Linked DNA regions of Alligator mississippiensis. The protein of the gene in region 2 interacts with the protein of the main gene of each other region in a biochemical or structural test. Links are inferred from orthologs where the notes say so. Each region holds a gene or a part of one and is shown on either strand. Other genes may lie near its edges.

Region 1 (3,747 bases), on a different chromosome or scaffold from region 2:
GGGGTCAAACTGGAGAACCATCAGGCTACCAATGACCAGCAGATCTCAGACTGGTCTGATTTTTCTTACTACAAAAGCAACATGCAGCCCTAAGCAAAGGTGAGAGGAGCTGGCACAGATGGCAGTGACACTTGTTGCAGGAAAGGGGAAGTACATTGGGGAAGGAGTGAAAGCCAGGTCTGCATCCTCTCCAGAAGGATGTACCTGACTGTCTCCCAAATGGTGCACAGCTGTGGGGCATTTCTGGGGCCATCTCTCCTCATAGTGTCTCTGGCTGAAGCTGCTGCCTGCAGTGCTAAGCTTGGGCTAGCCAGGAAGCTGCCAGCTCTGCATTCTTCTGCAGACCTCACACCGGTTCATCCCATCTCTGCCACCTTTGGGTTACTGCAATGCGATTTATATAGGGAAGCTTTTGAAGGAAGCCCCAAAGCTGCAGTCAGTGCAACTCAGTGCTGCTGCCTCCTCGAGTAGAATGGGCATTTTTTTTAAGCCTGCCCTCAAGGGAAAATTTTAAACTGGTCAGTACTGCCTTGACTTACCCTAGGAGCAGGTTGCCCTACGAAGACTGCTCGGATCAGCTGGGAGCTGGATCCTAGGGCTGGATGCCCTAGGGCTTGGATATACTGCCTTTGGCAGCTTGCAGGGGCAGATCCTAGCAAGCTTGGAGGCATTGTGCAAAGCAGTTAGGCTTAACTCTTGCCAGTCTTCTAACAGCATCAAGGCATGTCTGCTGCTCTCTGGTCCCAATCCAGCAAAGTAGTTGGGTACATGTTTAGTTTTAAGCACCTAGCTAACCTCACTGCATCTTGCAAGGTTGAGCCTTAATTTTGTACCGAACCCTAGGCTGATATAGCAATACAGCCTGTGTATAAATATAACCTCTTAGCGCTGGATGCTGTTCTGAATGAGCACACAGCATCTCTGTTTAAAGACAGTGCAAGGTCCATGGAAGACACGTGCCAGCAGCACCCCACCCCAGCCCACATATTCACATGCTGCCCATGTAAATGCAAACTGACAGCTTCACTGTTCTCTGCTTTAATGCACTTGTGATTCAGTGAGAGATTTCCAAGTCTCTTTTCTTCCCTGGGAAAGTGGCAGCCACCCCTTTCAGAAGTCCCTCTTGGAGACTTGCCTCTACTTCTGCTCAGAGCAGGTGTTTGTGCCGAGGAGGCAGGCACTCCACAGCTGGATGGCTCTCAGCATCCCTCTGAAGGAATTGGAAGGTCTCAGGATTTCAGGGTTCCCCAAGCAGAATGCAACCCCTCTCTTGTGAAGAGTTAAAGCTGACAGAGGGGGCATAATGGTGAGGTGCCCCAGACAGATTTCTGCTTGTAAATCTATGCCAGATGGAGTAGCTGCCCTAAAGAGAACAGGTGACACTGCATCCTACCCCACTAACACTAATAGCCTAATATTACAAAGCAGAGTCCTCACCTCCATGCTGGCCAGTTCTTTGGCAGGGCTGAGGCTGTAGATGGGGTTGGCTCGGTTGGACTGGAACTGGAAGAGCAGCAGCAACAGGAGCCCGTAGAGAAATGAACCTTTTGTGTCCATCCTGCTGGGTTGGCTTGGAATAGGAGCAAGTTTGAGCTTCTTCTGAGAGGTCCCTTCTGGTCTCGATGGCTCACTCCCTCGTTCTGTTTGCTCCTCTTTCTGGCTGCTCTTTTATACTCTTTGGGTGTGATCCCTGCTTCCTAGGTTATCGGGGGGTTTATCGGGGGTACATTCCAGTCCCACTGCAGGCATGCAGCTCTGTCAAAAGAAGATTCCCTTTATTAGCTGTCATTAGGAGGTGGCTGCTACTGAGGAATGTCTGTCACAAGTCAATGATTTCATGTCGCTCTTTCCCCACCCTCCCCTCCTTGATACCAGGCACTGAGATTACATAGTCCAGCTAGAAATTCTTAGCAATTTTGTTACAAGAGACCCCCATAGTCTGATTCACAGGGATAGGAAAACAACTTTGAGATGGCTCTAGATTCCACTTAATAAGGAGCTTTTGGGAAGGAAATGCCTTATATAGAGAAAGAAGAGACCAAAGACACCAGCTTCAGGGAGGGTAGAAACAGAGGAAGGTAAACTTCCTTCTAGGAGATCAAGTGTCACACAGGCTTCCCTGTTATATGGAAAACCTCCAGCTGCTGCATGCTGCGGCATGTACTGAAAATCTCCGGTTCTGGGCTCTTTTCTTCTCCATGGTTTTAAAGGCAATCGTGCTACACTACACGGTCTTTACATTACTTGCTTGTACACTGCCTACAACAGCAGGGTCCCGATCTGAAGTGCTTCAGTGCTATTGTAATACTAATAACTCTTGGAGGGACACTTTAGGGTTGCTGAGCCTTTCCAGAATTACTTTATTAGCAACGGCAGCTGCCATGCCTTTGAGAATTGGGACGCTAGTCACACTTAAGTCGATAGGAGTTTTCCATAAGCATGGACTTCAGGGTCTGACTGTAAGTAACTTCAAGGAAATGTAGAGTAAATCACATTCAGGGGAGACTGCTCCTGAGACATGTGCAATGAATTCGGCGCACGGTTGCATCGGCTTGAAAGTGGATGTTTGTGGAGTGAGATTTGAGTGAAGTTTTTCAAAATTTGGTTTAAGAGAATGTGTGTATGTCTGGGGGAGTTAGGGTTAGAGGGGGGTGTACGCAAATGCATGTATTCAGTGCGAGAACAAATAGGTTCTGTTTTGTTAGAGTTCACTATTCTAGCATTCAGCTGATTTTAGAAGTCAGAATTGTGATTGAGTTATGCTGAATCTGTATATTCCTAAATTATCTGCACTTACTTTTCAACTCTATATGAGTAAAAGAAGAGGTAGTAACAGTGTCTCAGTTTGCAAGAGTATTTTAAACTATGAAATATACAATGTACTTTGCATCTTGCATGACTGGCTTCCTGTGTTAGAGATGGAGGTAAAGAGTAACTCTGTGCTGGCACTGCATTTCCTAGTCTGAGTGAATCTCCAGCATTTTAAATGAGGAAAAGTCAGAGCTTGAAAAGAATTTCCTGAAATGTTTATTAAAAAGGATATGCTGTTTGTCATTCGCATACAGTGTGTGTGACAATATAAACACTGTGCGTATGCATGCACAAATCCCCAACTTGAATAGGGCATTATGAAGGCTGTAAGTCAAACGCTCAAAGGTTAGAAAATGCCAGAATGAAGCTTTCCTCTGCATCCTCAATTTAGCTCTCTGTACGTAGGTGCTATGATAGCCTCTTAATTACACTATCGTACCCTATTTTTTTTTCACTGGACCTCTGCCTCTGTCAGTGCACAGGGTGGGTGAACAGCTCTTGGCTATTTTGCCCTCTCCTTCTGATTGGGGTGACGCTGTTTTATTTATTGCATGCTATTCAAATCCTTCACCGAAGGCAGAATAATTAGCTGCTTTGTGGGCTTTGCTGTGTCACTGGGCTCTGTAGGTTTTGAATGCTTCATGGACTTCCATGTGTCTGTCTTCACAACACCTCTATGCAAAGAGCTCTTATTATCCCTATTCTGAAGATGGGGACTAAGGGGCATGGAGATGATGGTCCAAAATGTACACGCACACACTTTTGGGGTGGGGAAATGACTAATATGAGGCACCTAGAACCTGATTTCTCAGCATGCTACTCCCTGTTCAGACACACATGGCAGTGGACTTCATGGGCATCGGACTGTCCCGTACTCTTGAAAATCAGATATCAGGGTCTTCATCTAGGTCTTGACCCAGAAAGCGAGGAACACTA
Region 2 (3,747 bases):
GTGCTGGGTGCCAGTCCCACAACCCTGGCCTGGCTGCGTCTCCCTGTTTCTCCCCCACCCCACGGTCCCTGGCACCTGACCTTTGACCCTGGGTGCGATGTCCTGGTGACAGACCCTCAGCCCCGACCTTGGCCTGGCATCTTGGGCTTGCCTCTGGCTGCCCTGCTCTGCGCTCCCGGGCTCCCAGCGGCTCTAGCCACTGGACTGAGACTCCAGCTGACCACAACTGTGATTACCAACACCCTGCCTACTGTGTCTGGACCCTGGCCTGAGCCTTTGGCATGGCACACGGCCCCCAGCATCCCCACGCACCATAGCAGGCCCCCGCCCCAGAGGGCAGCGATGGATCTTGGCACCTGCCATGGAGAACGATTCAGGACTGACACCAAGTGGGAAGCCCTGGCCGAGACCAGCAGTGTCAACCTTGCGCCGTGTTTGTGCTTCCAGGCTCTCACGTTGCAGAAGCACAGGACCCCAGAGCCCAGGGTGGCATATGTCTAGCCCAACCCCTGCCCGAGGCAGGATCAGTCCCATCCAAACCGACATGGGGGCTGGGGACCACGAGCCCAGGGGATGCACTAGGACACTTGTCCCTGCCCTGTGCCCAGCACCGCTTTGTGCTCAGCACGGGCAGGCTGGGGAGCAGCTGGGAGCTGGGCAGGAGATGGCGTACATTTAAAACTGATTTACTAAACGCGGACCGGCTGTTTACTTGGCCCCCGGTCAACCAAGCAAACAGGCTGTGCCTGGTCACCAGGGCCAACTTGGTTTTAGAGCCAGCGGATCTTAGCTGCCCCCTCCACCCACAGCCTGGAGAGGAGGAGGGGGAAAGCTTCCTGCTTTTCCAACTCCCACCTGGACTCCAGGCTCTGAAGGCCCTGGTGTCAGCGCCCGTGGCTGGCCGGAGACCCCAGGCGAGGACATGGCTGCCATGGACCAAGCACTGCGGCTCTGGGGGGCACGGGCCTGGCGCCAGGACCCTCCGTGGCGCCTTGGCTCCCGTGTTGTGGGGCGAGGCGGGGGCTCAGGGGCATCCAACTCCCTGTGGCCAGCCCCGGCCCCCGCCCCAGGATGGGCAGCCGCCCCCCACAGCCCAGCCCCCAGGCTCTACCAGCCACGCTGGCTCCGGGGCCCTGGGCCCTCCCTAATGACACAGCACCGGATGCATTAGCGAGCAGCAGCTGGCTGGATCGATGCGCGGCTCATCAATAATGGAGCAGCCCAGGCGGGTCCTCCCGCGGGGCCCGATCCCTGCCTGCCCCATCAGCGCGGCAGCTGCCGGCTCCCCTCGGCCCGGCCCGGCCCGGCCTGTGCGCCCCGTCCCAGGAGCCCCCGGCGCTGCCAGCTGGGAGGCAGGGGCGGGGGGCGGGCTCAGCCCGGCACGGCGCCGCGCCGCGACCAGGGCCCCGCGCACGCACCGTCCGCGCCCCGCGACGTCGCGCTTGCGCCCCCCGCCCCGGCCCCGGCCCCGGCCCCGGCCCCGCGCGCTCACCGCGGGCGCTGGTCTTGATGAAGGCGACGGCGCTGTGGGCGCCGCCGTCGTCGGGCGCGTAGAGGTGGTAGCGCACGGCCAGGCTGGCGCCGTCCTGCAGCGCCTGGTACACGCCCTCGATGGTGAAGTAGTAGGGCCGGTCGTCGGTCTTGCGGTCGGCGTAGAGCAGCGCGGCGCGCGCGCTCCAGTTGAAGGCGCCGTGGAGCCGCGCCGCGAAGGCGCCGAGCTGCGGCGCGGACGGGCCGGTGCGCACCGTGGTGCGGTACTGGAGCCGCTTCTGCCCGAAGCCCGCGGCCACCGCCCCGGCCGTGACGAGCGGCAGGCGCCAGTGCGCGGCGAAGCGGCCCACGGCGGCCGCGGGGTACACGCAGCCCGGGCCCAGCAGCACGTCGGGGTCGTGGTAGAGCCGCAGGTCCACGGCCTGCAGCGGCGCCACGTCCTCGGAGCAGATGCCGTCCAGCTCGGAGCTGAGGAAGCGGGTGCGCACGGTCAGCGCCCGCGGCAGCAGCTCGGCGCGGCGCAGCGCCTCCAGCGCCAGCCTCACGGCCGGGCCCACGCGCGGCCAGGCCCACGCGTAGCTCAGGTTGCGCTCGGGCAGCACGGCGCCCAGGGTCAGGGTCAAGGGCAGGGGCTGGGGCTGGGGCTGGGGCAGGCTGCGGTTCGCGCCGTCGGGCTGCGCCCGGCCCGCCCCGCACAGCGCGGCCAGCACCGGCACCAGCACCAGCCCCAGCAGCGGCGGCGGCGGCGGCCGGCGCGGGGCGCCCATGGGGCCGGGCAGAGCGGGCTCGGCGCGGGCTGGGCTCCCGGCCCGGACTGCGCTGCCTTCGCCGGCTGCCGCCCGCCCCCGCCCCGCCCCGGGCCCGCCCCGGCCCCGCTCCGCTCCGCCCCGCCCGCCCGCCCGCGCCCCGGGGAGGAGCCGGCCGCTGCCCCATGCGTGCGTGCGGGGCTCCCTCCCCGCCCCTCGCGGGGGGCCCGCGCCGGACAAGTCCCCGCTGCTGGCTGCGGCGCGCGGGCAGGAGCCACCCGTGCCACCGGGGCCGGGGCACGCGGGTCCGCGGCGGGTGCCTGGGGCTGAGGCCAGCTGCACGCCGCGGTCCCTTGGCTCCTGCGCGAGCGGGGGATCTCCGGCTGCTCCTTCCACCCGGGACTGGGGCCGCGCCGGCCCCGCCGGGGAGACCTGGTTCAGTCCCAGAGCCACCGCAGGCACCGCCCTGGGGGCTTAGCCCAGCCTGACCCTCCCTGGCAGAGCCATGAGTCCGCAGGGCAGAGCCTGGGGTGCTCCCGGCTGGAGGCTGCTGCTGGCCGCCTTTCCTCTGCTGCCGCGGGAGGAAGCACTGGGACCCCCAGGGGAGCAGGAGCCTCTGGTGGGGGCCGGAGCTGGGGCCAGTGCCCAGCAGCCTGGGCCGCGCAGCCGCCAGCCGACCTGCGCGCGGCCGCCTCGCGAGCGCCGCGCAGCATTCCTCTCATTCCTGGGCAGGCCCTGTGGTCCCGTGGGGCCGGGGCTGGCGCTGGAGCGGGGCTGGCTGCATGGCGTGCCGGCCGGCCCCTCATAAAAGCTGGCCCCTCGTAAAACCAGCAGCAGCAGACGCCAGTGAGCCCCAGCGCCGTCTGCCTGCTAGGCCCTGCCGCAGCCACACGTCCCGGTGTCGGGGTTCTGGGCTGGGCCAGGGCAGCGTGACAGGCCCGGTGGCACACGGTTCCCATGACCCAGACGTGTGGGACAGGGTGGCAATGGTGGGCAGGGAGCAGGCAGGAGGCCAGGGGAGCTGGGGGCAGGGGCTGGGGAGCTGGGGTGGAAGAGGGGCCGTGTGTCATGGGGCATTGGGGGACCTACTCTGCAGTTCAGGGGGCACATGTGGCACAGGCCCGGGGGTTATTTCTATCCCTCGATGCCTGCTCTGGCACAGGCCAGTGGGCCTGGGGAGCTGGTGTGTGCCATCGAGTGTGCACCATCCTAGTGGGGCTGGCAGGTGCCATCAGGCACAGGCAGGGGATGCTGCAGCCCGGCCGTGTCCCTGCCATGCTGTGCACCGTAGTGTAGAGCAGCAGGTCCCTGCAGTCACCCCCACGTAGGGGCCCTGCATGAGCCCAGCACGGGTCTGCTGGGAACAGAGCCGCTGGATCGGGTCCTGACCCCCGGGGGCGGAGATTCCCACTCCAGGAGTCCTGGCACCTGGCCCAGGTGAGACCAAGCCGCACGGGGTAGGAGGAGACAGCCCGTGGCCCCAGTGCTGTTTGCTGCACTGGCCAAGCAC

Evidence for each region.
Region 1: the proteins of atrial natriuretic peptide receptor 2 (region 2) and NPPA form a complex in vitro, tested with the Homo sapiens proteins (3 studies listed by BioGRID). The link is inferred for Alligator mississippiensis from reciprocal best matches to the Homo sapiens genes NPR2 and NPPA.

Annotation. Positions count from the first base shown.
Region 1 is NC_081836.1:12,470,393-12,474,139, forward strand, and holds the start of NPPA (natriuretic peptides A), read right to left. Parts: upstream 2,911-3,747; 5' UTR 1,558-2,910; coding exon 1,438-1,557; intron 1-1,437.
Region 2 is NC_081826.1:303,064,033-303,067,779, reverse strand, and holds the start of atrial natriuretic peptide receptor 2, read right to left. Parts: upstream 2,323-3,747; 5' UTR 2,259-2,322; coding exon 1,493-2,258; intron 1-1,492. UniProt on the Homo sapiens protein: Receptor for the C-type natriuretic peptide NPPC/CNP hormone. Has guanylate cyclase activity upon binding of its ligand. May play a role in the regulation of skeletal growth.